Mytilus edulis: one gene and its partner. The protein of the gene in region 1 purifies or fractionates together with the protein of each later gene. This does not show direct contact. Links are inferred from orthologs where the notes say so. Each region holds a gene or a part of one and is shown on either strand. Other genes may lie near its edges.

Region 1 (7,989 bases):
ATAAATTGAACATATAAGAGAATACAAAGTCTTAACCAATGTGCAGGAGATGAGAAGCAACATCTCCATACTCGACTGGAGTAAGCTCATCATTCTGTAACCTTGTTTTCAGTGTTTGGAGTCTGTCATCTATTTCCCTTTACTTCCTCTTTCTTGGAATACATTTCCCACCAGCTCTGTACTATATCAATGTGAGAGCACTGAAGGCTTCTTCTTGTCTCAACAACCTGATCATACTGATGATGTTTAGGTGAGGTGCATTTACTAATTATTTTTTTAGTTATTTTTTTAGTTTACTATGCAAATTTAACCCTCTAAATGGTTTGTTGTTCTATGACCTTCTGTTGCATAGTGATTCCACAGACTTTGGTTGTTCTCTACCCAGTAGCTGGTTACATAGTCAGAAAAGTTAAGTGTTGGTGTAGTAGTATCTGAATCATCGATGTATTCCAGTGCATTAAACCAAATATCTACAATTGTATTGGGTGGTTAAACTGCAGCTCTACGAACATTAAGTTGGTGAATGTCTCTCTTTTCACTGTATTCACTCTGCACACCATGCTTCTGTGCATTTCGCCAGATACACTGAGTGTAGTGAAAAAGGCACCCTTTTATGCTGATTCCTGGGAAGATTGAAGTGGCTGCATTTCTGATGGCTATTTTGTAGTCGAGGAATATCTTGGCTGGTTGAAGTAGGATGTTAAATTGGTTACATAGATCTCGAATAAAAGCTTATCAGAGTTCAAAGTTAATTGGCTTGACTTAATCTATTAGGCCAATATAAAATGTACACTTATCTAAAATGATTTATTACTTTAAGCATTACTTTTGATATTATGTTCATTTTTAAAAATCATAATTTGTTAAAATAATGAAATTAATAAATTTTTTGAGGCTGAAGTTGAAAGTTTGGGTATCTATTAATTTTCTTTTTAAATACGTTTTTTACAGACTTTTAAATGTTTTTACTTCTTTTTCTTTTCTTTTCCAATGCTTTTACTTCCTTTTCTTCTAAATAGTTTTTTTTCTACAAATTCCATAAGATTAAAATAATTAATTTTATAACTTAATGCATGTTTTCAAACAAAAAAAATCCCATTATTTTACATTTAAATTTTTTTTTAAATTTAATTTCAACAGGTAAATTTACCTTTCACCCGATTAGACACTAATGACTAAACCAACATATCTTGCAATAACAACATGTATTGTTCTACCACTAATCCGCCATGTAGGAATAGCCAGAATAGTAAAATACAAAATGTAGGAATAGCCAGAAGACACCAAAATTTTAATAGGTGAAAATACAATACACAAGGATATAAAGAGCACAAAATTATTGATTTCCCAAAGTAGACATCATAAGGGGCATCATAAATTGACAAAACTTTGAAAATAGGTATATCCCACAGATTTCCAAGTAATTTGGAAATAAATAATGGGCATTGAGATAAAATAAAAAAATGTTTATGTTTGTTCACATCTACAGTCATTGGACAAAAGTGAGTTCCCAGTCAAAAAAAGACCTATCATTTCAACTAAAATCGATATTTTTCAAAAAACTATTACCAAGTAACTATACATGCTATATGAGCTATTTTCTAAATATAGATACCAAAAGATGTAGAAATATCTGAAGTTTTATTGTTTATTTGGTTATAATATTATTCATGCTCATTTTAATTTTCTGACTAGATGAACACAAAGAAAGATATTTCTTGAAAAGTTTGCTATAATTCTAACCAAATTAAAATCGTAAAAATTTGCATTTGTGTATAATACATCAGATGAAGAAAACAAAACTCAAGAAAATTATGACTAAATAAACAATAAAATTTCAGACATTTTTACATCTTATGTTATCTATTTTATAAAAATTGCTCATACAGTTACTTGGTAATATTTTTTTGAAAAAATATCGATTTTGGTTGAAATGATAGGACTAGTAAGACCCAAACTGGAATATAGTTGTAGTGTCTGGGACCCCCATATGAAAGAACAACAGATACAATTAGAAAAGGTACAGTCGTTATGTACACAACAACTACGATTACACGAGCAGTGTCACAAACATGCTAAATCAGTTGAAATGGCCACCACTAGCTGAGAGACGCTTAAAAACCAGACTTATTTTATTTTATAAAGTAATACATTGTCTAGTAGCCATTCCATCGCATATTTGTGAACAAACAGACAGCAGAACAAGACAAAATCATAAGACATATAGACACATCCAAACTTCCAAGGACACATACAAATGGTCATACTTCCTGCGAACAATTATTCAATGGAATTTACTACCACAAACTGTAATTGAAACCACCACTGTTGGCAGCTTTAGAGATCGACTAACACCAGCGGTTCTCTCTAGCTTTAAATAAACAAATTCAAACAAAACATGTACATATATTTTTAATCACAATCTGTAAATACAAACACTCCAATTGTTATAAAATATTTTTATAAATTTTGTATAAATTTTTGTCAATCATGCATGCGCAACAACATGTATTCTTCAGTATTGAAGCCTTGTTGACCTTAAAGAAGAAGAGACTATTTTTGAGTGAGGACTCGCTTTTGTCTCATAGCTCAGACTGTACATGCATTCATGACAAACTGACCATTTTAAAAAATAGTCAGTTTAGGACAAACACCCATTTCTGTGAGTTTTCATTTATAAAAAAACAATTTATTTAATTACAGAAAATGTGGTAATGTTGTAATTAAAAGTCTTTTTGTTGATAACAGTTTGAAGGCTAACATATTTTTTCTAAGAAAACATGAAACAGTCTGAAACTCTTGGAATAAAAGATGAGTCTGCATATTTCCTTTAAATAAAAATTTTAAAGCAATATTTTCTCCATCTGTTTTCCACGAAATTTGCATCATAAATGTGATAATTTACCATATTTGAATGCCTTGGTAGTGAGACAATCTATACACAAAGTTCATTATAAATCTCTTAAAATATTAAACGCTGGAAATCTTTGACAGAATCCACGTGAATGGCACGTGCGATTGTTTACATTGTGACGTAATCAATCAACGTCGCACCTGTCAAATGTTTTGTTCTATTATTGTTTCTGTTGACGCATTATTCTATCATTGTTTCCCCGATTTGCGTACAATGCCAATTGCATTCTTTTGTTCTATCATTATGTATTAAATGTATGTGTTGCAAAAAAGGAAGAAAGAGAAAACAACATAAGCAAAATGACAACATGAAATATTTCTGTTTGAATTTGTTGAAATTACCTGTCTTCCAGCCATTCAAGCATGCCGATTGAACATCCAAAAATTCATCGGAACTGCCATTCTTGGTTGTCACAAAAACAGTGTTAATAAATGCTTTCTAGAACACAAGAACTAAACAAAAACGGAAAAAAAACAGCTGAAGAAATGACATCAATGGCGGTTAAATTGCGCGGTCGGAATATCCAGATATGATATCTGAAATTTGATTGGACAATGAATATTTCTAAAAATAAAATAGGAACCTTCATTTTTAGATATGAGGACAACCTTATCTCTGTCTTCGATTTCTCATGAGACTACTATCGGATCAGGAAAACGGACAGAAAGTCACAAACTTGATAGAACAAAAAGTCACAAATATTTTTTTGACAATTTTTTAGATATATTTTGAATATTTTCATTTAATTACATACACCCCCCCCCCCCATATATTTTATTTTTAAGTTAAGGAAATTTCTCATAAACCTCGATAAATGAAAACGTATTAAATTTTAATCAAGCAAAGGATGTGAATATTGAGAAAATGAAGCCATTTAGGTACCAAGCCACTTTGACATTTTGTTTTCATAACAACTATTTTATCATTATATATTTATTGAATAAATTTTAATTACATAGTTGCTTTATATATATAAAACTTTTAAGAAAAATACCCAAAAAATATTTTTGAAATAAGTGTTTTTGAACAAAGAATAATAATCTCAAACAAAATTGTGTTTTTGTTTTTGTTTTGTGACTTTTTGTCCATGACTTTTTGTCCTGTGACTTTCTGTCCTACATTATCGCAATTTTGTCCGAGTTGCCATGTATTCACACAATAGATTAGTAATATTGTAATCATATATTGTACAGTCTGCATTATATGTCTCTGTTGTCAATAATGAAAACATATATTTCGTATCATATTCAGGACGAGAACAAGTTCACAATAAATACAATAGGTAGGTTGATGCAATAGAGGCCATCTGTGATGATGGTTGGAGAAATTTGGAATGCCACCGGAAAAGGAGGGTATATTGGATAGGGATAGAAATTTTGCCTTGCAACAGGCCACCTACGGACCCCTCAAAGAGTTGTTGCAAGGGTTCTTAACGTGCAAAGAGCGTGGCACTCTCTTTACACGAGGCATCGGATTTAACGTCCCCCTTCTGACCGGACGTGACTGCGAACTTGATACATCCCGCACAGCCAAACGGACGCCCCTCTTCGGCAAGCGTTTTACTGCCGGTCGGGAGAAGACCAAGCGACCATATTTCTATACCCCAGTCACCCTTGGGGATGATTTGTATAGTAAGAATGAAGTATTACTAATAAATGATTTATTAATTGAATAAATAGGTAATCAATTCCAAAACGGCTTGCCATAGAATTTAAAAATTAAAGATTGAATTCATAATATTAATTCTAACAGAGACATATAAATATGTCTCTGATTCTAATCAATAAAAAAATACAAACTTATTTATAATATAAAAAAGGACTATTCATTGAAAAAATATTTTTTAGTATATTGAAAAATAATTTTTCTATTAACAAATGATATTTCTTCTATAAACAAAATTGAAACGATTTATTTTTTTAATAAATAGAGAATAAATTCCACAACGGCTTGTCATATTGTATAAAGAGTCTTTTATTGTGAAAATAATACCATAGAGGCCCCTCATGGGGGGGTCCTAGTAATCACATAATCACCATTTTTTTGCCAATATAATCACATAATCATTAAATATTTGCTTATCTTTAGTAATCAAATAATCATAAACTAAAAATACAGTCCTAGGTAATCAAATAATCATGAAATATTTGGCTTAATAATCAAATAATCATTAAACAAACGGCCAAGTAATCACATAATCAAAAACCCCATGAGGGCCCTCACCATACACCTTACAAAGATGACTGTTTTATTTTAGAACAACCCTTTTTAGCAAAATCTTTATATTTTATGTTTAACCGCAGAAAATATTGTGTATAACGGAATGTTTTTTTTCTTTAAATGTGATGTAAAAGTTTTATTTATTCATTTGTAAATGAATGTTAGAATAAGTTTTAAAGCAAAAGTGTCTCATAAGTCAGTCATGACTGGATACCGATATTTTAACTTCGATTTAAATTCTTATTTGTATTTTTATACTTATATTATTATGTATGATATTGTTCAGTATTGGTATGTGACACTATAATAAAATATTCTGTCTGTCTGTCTGTCTTTATTTTAGAATTGGAAAATAAGTTAAGAGTTGACATATTAAATGTAAATTTGTTCCTCCCAATATAGATTAAATAATATGTTGAAAAATGGTACTATATTTTCTACTTCACGAAAAAAGTTTTAAAGCAAAATGTAAATCATAAAAATTAACTATTCGTTGAACTTTCAGAATGTAATTAACCTTCCAATGCATTCTAAATCCTTTTTTTCATTTTTGTAGATCATACATGTCTCTAGTTAACTGTTTAAACTATATTTATAAGATCTTATAAGCATTCGATGCATATAAACAGTATCATCAATATGCATGGCCTAGCAACTGGTTACCATATGTTTATAATTTTTTAGATACAGTAAATCTACCTTTCGGAAGGCTTTGTATCTATTCAATCTAGCATGAAGAATGAGTGAATATGAAGTTGGAATACACATCACCTGAGTATCTGGTGTTTTATGTTGTAAGATTTTCTTTCACTATCATACTCATAGGGAAATCTTAATGTTAAATTTTGTTTACAGCACAAATCAGACTTGCCATGTCTCTCGAGTGAACCACTGGTGACTGGTTACCACAGCCAAGAGCCATACTACTTCAATTCTTGTCTTTGTAAACACAAATTTTATGTGGATCCAGGATTTTGAAAGGGTTACATATTAGTCAACGCTTGTATTAAAACATGTAAAAGGTCTATGCATTAACAATATAAGTTGTTCCATGAGTGGTACTGGGCACCCCCCCTTTTTTTTTAAACCCTAAATGATAGATCTGCCTCTGTCTCTGATTTACTTTACAACTTAAGTTTTAACACTTTAGTTCCATAATTTAGGTCTTCACCATTATATCTCTGTCCCACTGTAGTGTATTGTTATGCAGATGAATATAACTGGATATTAAGTTTGAAAATTGAACCCAACAGTGTTAAACATATAGCTAGAGACTGGTTCCTGTGCAGTAAAGTTTACCATGAAGTTCTCGTCACATGAAATTAAAACTCTGTACACTTGTACACTTATTTATTATGATATTTTAAATTTACATGCATACATAATAATAAGGGTGTGACCAAAGTATCTAGAATACATCGTAGGAAGGCGTCACAGAAAACAATAAAAAAAAAGCCATTCAAGACATCATCACTATTTGGACTAGGGCATGGTGTCCCTAAATAATACAGTATAAATAAGAAGATGTGGTATGAGTTACATTGAGACAACTCTGTAAGTCACAATGTATAAAAAGATAACAATTAAAGATCAAAGAAAGGCTCTCAACATGTAGCCTTTGCTCAAACCCAACAGTAAGCTATAAACATGATAAAGGGTCCCAAAATGACTAATGCAAAACAATTCCAACTGGAGAGTCAACAGACTATATATGAAAAAGAAGAAAATCTATTTAGAAAACAAGAATCAAGAAACATCTGTGACAACCACCCCAAACAACCCCAAACCAACCACTGACAAGCCACATATTCTTGTTGATTGATATATTTTGCACATGGTAACATTTCCTATTCAAAATTAACCTGAGTTTGTTCAAGGAACAGCTTAAAATAATGAGAGGACAAAAAATAGTTTTGAAGACTGAAACTCAATTTATTTTTGTAATTTTAGACCCTGTTTACTGTGATAGGTTATATAGATGGATGTTCTAGAGAGAGATCCAGGGTTGTTAGACGTGTAATAACTGAAGTAAGTATATAGGTAGACATTTGAAAAAAAATGTTCTGGCATCTAAATATATACATATGAATGATTATAATTATAAATTTCATTTTATTTTATTTTATTTTAATTAAATTTCTGAACAGCATCTCATGTAAGGACCAACATTATCCTGATTATTATTAATTTTTACTGAATTATTGCTTTTTAAAAATACCAATGATTTGCGTCTAGAGATATTGCTGTGAATGACATCTGCTCAAGACAGGAGTGGACGTGTGATATACATGTACACTTCTTATTTAAATGACAATCAGATAAAATAAGATTGAGAAATAAATTTGAAAAAATTCTAAAGTAAAAACGAAAGGAATTATTCATTTCAGTTTTATTGACTATTATAGTTGTATTTTCCTTTCTAAAATTATTGATTGACAAAGACAACTCTTAAACATGTTGAATATGAAGTAATGCATTGAGTTTATGATATTTGAATTGCAATTTCAGTAGAGTTTTATCAATATGTTGATTGTATTTTAGAAAATATATCCATTGTACAAATCTGTCCAAGCAGAGATTCCAGATACATGTATCCTAAACAAAGAGAGAGATATTTATGCCATCCAAGAGGACCAAAAATATAATGAGCCACCCAATAAGTGGTATTGTAATATCTGTGGTAAAGGGTTCATCGCTGAGTATTACTTAGATCTACACTTTACCAACAGACATAAAGAATACATTAGACAGGTAAAGATTACAACTTTTTACTGCAGTATATTTATATTTAAATATCAGCATGATCAGGCTCTGGCCATGTACTGTCATTGTCAATATAATCTTCATATAAAAAA
Region 2 (7,616 bases), on another chromosome or scaffold:
TTGCAATTAAGATAATTTATCATAAATGATTCATCACTATTGCTTTGTTATATATTTTGTGTATATTTTACTGTAACAATACTAATTATCTAGCATATTACAATAAACTGGTATGCTGTCCAAAATTGATAATCTATTTCTCAACAGTAAAGAAGACTAAGAAAGACATAAGGTTTCCTATATATAATTCAACTTGGTAATTTTATGCTCTGTCCTTTATTTTAATATCTTTTTATAAACAGGTTGGAGTGAATGTACCTATCCCAGTGCCTTTACCTATGTTCTCCTTCACTGGTTCTAGAGGATCATTCAAGGGTGACCAAAACTTCTATGGAAAAGCTGTAAGTATTATACATATCTCATTTATAGCAATAACTATTAATGACTCTTATTGGTTTGGAATCAGTTACCATCATGAATATTGATAGTAACAAATACAGTATTGTGTAATGATCTTTGCATAATATTTATGGGTAGGAGGATCATTTACCTTCACTTTTGAATCAAACCACAAAATGTTTTAAAATTTGAAATTTACATTTGTTTTTGAATTTGAAAAAAAAAAGAAATCTTTAGCAAGCTTCAATAGTTATTTCCTTTCTCTGAAAAAAGCAATTTTGCCCAAATCTAGAATGTTGTGTGTATATTTCGACGATGAGTGAACAAAACAGAAATTTAAATATTTTTTTTTAATCAGATCAAACAGAACAAGAGAGTTTACAAATTTCTTCTTAGAACAAGAATACTTTGAAATGCAGAAAATCATAAAATAGGAAAATGTTGTATGCATATAATTGAAATGTAAAATCAGAACAAAATTTTTATATTGAAAAAAAAAACTGGCTAATTTTTATCCAAATAATTTTCATGTAACTGCTTATAGCATTGTTCACTTACAATGCCTTTTGTTTGTATAATAAAGTTATAGTAAAACACATAACATATCTTTTACAGGGAGTAAACTTTTACACACAGTTAAAAACAGTCACACAGATGTGGAGATCAGATGATGCAGATTTATCGTCCAAAGCTAGTCCATACGCCATGCCAATCATGAAATAAACAAACAAACATTGCATAATATTTAATTTGGGAATTTGGTAAACTGTTATAATCAGATATGCATAGATGTGGCATTGATGAATTAGAAAATTTAAGTTGATGGTAGTATTTTCAGACTTGCTCACTTGAACAAAATTTCTTGTTTTTGAAGTGCTATTAATATATACATTTTTATATGTATTTTATTGAGATTTATACAAGTGATAAGCATTTGCATTTTGTATATTTATCAGATTATACAGAATTGTTATGGAATTTATATGATACTTTTAAATCATTTATTTTATAAAATGATGAACGAAATATTTATACACATTCACATTTGTAAATAAACCACTTATAAAGAATGATATCATGTCTCTTTTTCATTTTCTAAGATGCTGGAGTACTGATTAATTATATAGTTTTATTACTCAAAAAAGTCATACACTATGATGAACCATATTTTATCATAAATATAAAACGCCATGAATATGTCAAACTCTGATCTTCTCTGATGTGAAATAAGGAAAACTGTGAAATTAAATTACTTCTCAGTATACTGGAAAGGGGATATATAGCCTTCAATTGAGAATGGAAATAAGGAATGTGTCAAAGAGACAACAACCCTACCAAAGAGCAGAAACAGCCAAAGGCCACCATTGGATCTACAATACAGCAAGAAATTCCTGCACCCAGAGGCAGGCTTCAGCTGGCCCTTTAAACAACAATATGTACTAGTACTAGTGAAATGGATGTCACATTAAACTCTGAAACATATAAATCAACTAAAAAAACAAACCAGACAAGACTAAGGCTCCTGACTTGGAACGGGTGCAAAAATGCAAAAAAAAATCATATTGGAGAATTTTACTGTGTGACACATTTACAGATATCTCACTTTTTACTTCCTGTTTGGCCTACACATGTATGTTTTTCCATTGACAATGGTTGATGCATGTATATGAAGTTTTCATCACATAATTTCAAACAACTACAAACCTGTGCTTCTTGGTAATTTGTTCACCAAGCTTCATATTGGTAGGCTGTAATGTGTCATTATGTGTGACTCACTTATACATCTGCAGATATGAATAAGGGGAGATGTTCAAGTACAAAATGTATATATCAGACAACAATCCAATTAAAAAAAAGACATTTAGAGAGTAACAAATTGTCTTCAACATTAAAAGGTGTCTACAATACTTCAAGCCATAAACCATCCAACATGTGAATAAATATGACTAACACTCTAAGACCTGACATCAATACCCAATTCTCCAAATAGAAAAAAAGTATTAGTATATGATATACTTCTACTGACAAGGTTCCTGACTTGGGACAGGCACATACAAATGTAGGTTCTTGGCATGGGTGCATATTTAAAAAGAAATACAAACTGTAAATCTGTGTTTAATTCTTAAATCGTTGTAAGTGCTACTTGATAATGAAGTATACATGTAATTTTATTATTGCACCATATGGGATTATAGAGAGGATGCATATGCCTGCCAAATGACTTGATTTCAGCAGTAATGGTCCAGGGTATTTCCACTTGTCTTAAATTTCTATCAAACAAACTGAAATTTCAGTCTTATTTTAGTTATACATGTATATTAAGTCATGTAGTTCAGATCATGTCTGAAATACAGCCCTTTTTTATGCCCCATTTATGGGCATTATGTTTTCTGGTCTATGCGTCTGTTCGTTTGTTCGTTAATTCGTTCCTTCGTCTGTCCCGCTTCAAATTATAGTTTTTGGTCAAGGTAGATTTTGATGAAGATGAAGTCCAATCAACTTGAAACTTGGTACACAGGTTCCCTATGATATGATCTTTCTAATTTTAATGCCAAATTAAGAGTTTTTACCTCATTTTCACGGTCCACTGAACATAGAAAATGAGTTTGGATGGGGCATCCATGTACTTTGGACACATTCTTGTTTCATTGAGAGTTAGTTTAATTAAACTGTTCTTTGTTTTAAATGATGGGTTAACAGGAGTTTAATAGTAAGACAATATTTTATGGAAAGGAGATAACTTACTGACTAGCTCATTTGGATGTAAAAGGAATCAAATCTTTAAGAAGACACCTAAAGACAACAAAGTTTTCATACCTCTGATTGCAATCACACGAACAAGAACAGTGAACAGCAATTTAGATATACATGGATGGATGTTGATCAGATAATTTAAATGACCATTATAAGTTTTACAGAATACCAAAGATATACCAGTCACCAGATTTTAGCTTTAAAGGAACATAATACCCTTAAAATATTTTGCACTACATTTTGTGGTGGCCACTTTTATTGATGGAGGGAGCTGGAGTGCCTAGTAAATAATGATCCTTTTGTGATTATTGGTGAAATGAAATAAGATTTGGGCAAGAACATTGCCAATTTCATAACAAATGTTTGGCTTTCAAATTTGCATCCATTGATGCCACCCAGCATCTCTGAAAAATTAACACTCAAGTATTGCTGCAAATATGAAGTTTTCACAAAAGGCCTAAATTATGATGAATTGTTCAAATATCTCCTCTTTTTGAACAACTGGGTCAATTTGAACCAATATCTAACCTGAATTAAGTAATGTGTCAAGTTACTTACGTTGGTAGATATAATTTTAAATTACCATTACTCTTGTCTGATGTAAATTCTAATAAAGAAATGATACCAAATATAAATACAAATACAAAAATTAAATAAACAACATATACAGAGACATATATACCAGTACATTGGTAGTTCACACATAATATTTTTAAAGTTGTATCATTATTAAAGATTTCACAAGATAAAATTTTCTTATACTTTGCCAAACCTTGAATTTATCATATGATTTTGCAAAATATAATAAAATTTTGAGTCACTGTGCTATTTTTGAAACTACAAGAAGGATTTTTCATGAAATAAATCTATTAGAAAGAATAAAGAAATGAAATATGAAAAGATATGCTTTTTAAAATGGTTTTAGAAAATAAAAAGAATAAATGGTGTCACCAAACTTGTGTTCTTAATAGTGCTAAAATAAAGAAAAAAAATATTTTCATTCCTACATTGTATATCAAAATTTTACTACAAGAGTGATCTCCACTTATATTGTAACCGGAGAGCATGTACTCTACAAATATGTTCTAAGGGAAGCAATCCTGTCACAATATGACAAAGTTGAAAAGTAGAATCTAACAAAAAACAAATTTTCAGTATTTGTAAAAACAAACTTAATTAATACAACAAATCACTTATTTATCTTTATTCAATTGAACTGTCTCAACATTTGCAGATTTTATCATTATCCAATAAAGAATTTCTTGTAAGTTAGATTACATGGCTGTATTTTAATCCTGTGTGTAAGGTGTAATGACAAATTTCATTTAATAATAAGGGATTTCATAGATTTAATTTTAGATAGGATTGTATGTGATTTATCGACCGTTGTCAGTTATTTTATTTTATTGGTTTTAGTCTAGGTTAGTTTACAAATCCGTCACCGATTTTGACTCTAATATTACTATTTTCTGCAAAAATGACAACAAATGCGGGTAAATTGAAAGTCAAAAACAATACATTTGTCATAATGAATACATGTTAACATTATCCATTTAAGGAAAATATTATATGAATCATTACTGCATTATAAATCTTTATATCTGTTCTACACAAAACTCTCACAGCGCCCATAAACATAAGTCTTAGACTTATAAGAGCTTGTCTTCAGGGAAAACGGTACTATTTATTCTGCCATAGGCGACAATATTAACATTTTCTAAATTTACAACTTTTTAAGATAAAAACTTGGATAAAACAGTTATATGTTGTGTTAGTACTTTATTATTGTGTTTTAAAAATTAAAGCCAAATAGTATCATGACCAACTTCCAACGGAGCTTGTTTATGTTATCCATGCCCACCGTCATTTTGCACCAAATTTATGAAATTTTGCAAGTCTTTTCAAATAATTCTCTAGAAAATATTTCAATAGGTTTCAAAATTTATGTTGTAAATATACACACTGCAGTTATTCATAGATAAATAAAAAATATATTGTACCCTTACATCCAATCACAGCGCTGCTAATTTGACTTCCTTCACCTGCCTTGGGTACACAAAAGGCCAACCTAATGCTGGGAAAATTAAATACTACCGTTTTCCCTATACTGTGACATAAAGATATAAAGAATTCTTATGACATTATGATTGCAATACTGGGCTATTGTGAAAACCTTGGCTATAATAAATACTTGTATGTTCCCAGTACTTAAAGAAACATAGATCATTTTATGTCCCCACCCCCACATGCTGGTTTGCCTCATTTTCTACTTCTTTCAGAAAAGCCTAAATAAACAACCTGTATCCAATCATATCTTATCTTATTCAAACAGAATGATAAATAGTTCCATTTAAACAGATAAAATGGACAGTTCCATTCAATTTGTATTCATTTTATCAAAAATTTACAACAAATGCACAAATTCAAGATTTTTCATACTAATCTCCATTCCATGCTTTAGTATATGCCATATTGTGGTTAAAAATTTCAGAGCTTGTTATAAAATCTACTATTCTGTCTTGAGATGATGAAAACAAAGATATTAGACACTTTAAACATTAAATATGCAAAATACTCAGCTGTAAAGTTGCATTTGTTGCCTGTATTAATCAATGAAAAAGCTGAATTATATCCCTTGGGAGTATTAATTTCCACCAAAAGTCCATTCAAACAGTAGGAAATGAAAAATTATTAATGTCTGATATAATAAAAGAAAGAAACTACAAAATGAAGCACTTTTGAAATATTTGCTGCATGAATTATCAAGAATGTGAACAATTCTTTACACAGGAGAGCATAAATTCTATGTAAATTTAGCCTCAAGTGGGCCTCTTTTTTTCTTAGATGAACAATTCTAACACTGAAAATGCTTCCAATGTGACCAAATATTGCCTAATTCCATAAACAGTACAAACTAAACCAGACAATTTCCCATTTTAATAGATAATGTTTACAGAAATACCCAAGTGATACATTTAGGGAATTACGCAGCAAAAAAGGCAAACATTTCAGTAAAAAATATTTGTCGCGACTTGAATTCTGGTGTTTCCAATTGAAAAAATCATTGCGAAAGGTGAAATCAAATACAAAAGAACTATAATATGGTGCATTTTACACAATATAGTTAGTATTGACATCCTAGAATAAAGTTTTATATCATTACCAATCAATTTGACCTATCGTGATGACTCAGCACTTTTCTCAACACAGTATTGTTCTCAGTGAAAAATTTCTATTCTTTGGGATAAAAATCAAATGTACTAATCAAAAGCTTCAAAATAGTATAAAAGAATTGAAGTCTTAGTGACTTTGATTTCCCTTGCTATCTTCAGTATAGGGAAAACGGTACTATTTATTCTGCCATAGGCGACAATATTAACATTTTCTAAATTTACAACTTTTTAAGATAAAAACTTGGATAAAACAGTTATATGTTGTGTTAGTACTTTATTATTGTGTTTTAAAAATTAAAGCCAAATAGTATCATGACCAACTTCCAACGGAGCTTGTTTATGTTATCCATGCCCACCGTCATTTTGCACCAAATTTATGAAATTTTGCAAGTCTTTTCAAATAATTCTCTAGAAAATATTTCAATAGGTTTCAAAATTTATGTTGTAAATATACACACTGCAGTTATTCATAGATAAATAAAAAATATATTGTACCCTTACATCCAATCACAGCGCTGCTAATTTGACTTCCTTCACCTGCCTTGGGTACACAAAAGGCCAACCTAATGCTGGGAAAATTAAATACTACCGTTTTCCCTTCAGCTGTTACCAACACAGGAGTTTGAAATCCTATCAATAAGGGGGTAAAAATATACCAAAGTCGACTATCACAGTAGAGCTTCTCTCGAATTTACCCCTCGACTTTGGTATATTTTTACCCCCTTATTGATAGGATTTCAAACTCCTGTGTTCCCAATCAGTTTTTGCAGTTCACGCCAAACTTCTTCTTCTTCCTTTATAGAACAGTCCATGTGGGAACAACAAATTATATGCGGGGAAGTGCCAAATAACTAAAGTGAATAGTAGTCCGAGATTAATCTGACGTCCAACAACTGTTTTGTCTGACAAGCTGGGGCCGTTCACATTGGACGACAGAGTAATCTCGGACTAAGTGAAAAGGTGCTTTTTAAAATATAGTCTGATATTACACTGTCCAGACAAGCTGGGGTCCAACAGAGTAATCTCGGACAACTTAAAACAATGTTTAAACAAGGTTGAACATCTATCCAAGCTGAACAACTTGCAAACCCCTTGTAAATGATTAAAGGGCTGTGCAGCTTCTAGTTGTTGTTGCAGTCCATTCCAGATTCTGATGGTGTCTGGGAAAAAATAGTATTGATATTATACTTGCATTGAGTTTTGGCAAAAGGAATAAGGACTCTTTATTTATGTCCTTGCCATGTTGATTTTACAGGCTGTAAATTTCTATATGGATGGTATGGCAATACTCTATAAAATTTTATAGATATCCAAAAGTTTTGAAAACCTTTGCAGTTTTACTCTCATATA

What was found.
Region 2: the proteins of myb-related protein A-like (region 1) and protein lin-52 homolog purify together in Drosophila melanogaster (affinity purification with western blotting; 3 studies listed by BioGRID, with this or other methods). This does not show direct contact. The link is inferred for Mytilus edulis from reciprocal best matches to the Drosophila melanogaster genes Myb and lin-52.

What each region holds. Positions count from the first base shown.
Region 1 is NC_092350.1:20,930,310-20,938,298, reverse strand, and holds the start of myb-related protein A-like, read right to left. Parts: upstream 3,031-7,989; 5' UTR 2,953-3,030; coding exon 2,906-2,952; intron 1-2,905. Other genes in the region: uncharacterized protein, read left to right, coding at 5,884-5,928, 7,085-7,162, 7,676-7,885. UniProt on the Drosophila melanogaster protein: DNA-binding protein that specifically recognizes the sequence 5'-YAAC[GT]G-3'. Component of the DREAM complex, a multiprotein complex that can both act as a transcription activator or repressor depending on the context.
Region 2 is NC_092346.1:42,566,652-42,574,267, forward strand, and holds the start of protein lin-52 homolog, read left to right. Parts: upstream 1-4,540; 5' UTR 4,541-4,570; coding exon 4,571-4,586; intron 4,587-7,616. Other genes in the region: probable methylmalonate-semialdehyde/malonate-semialdehyde dehydrogenase [acylating], mitochondrial, read left to right, coding at 243-341, 955-1,062.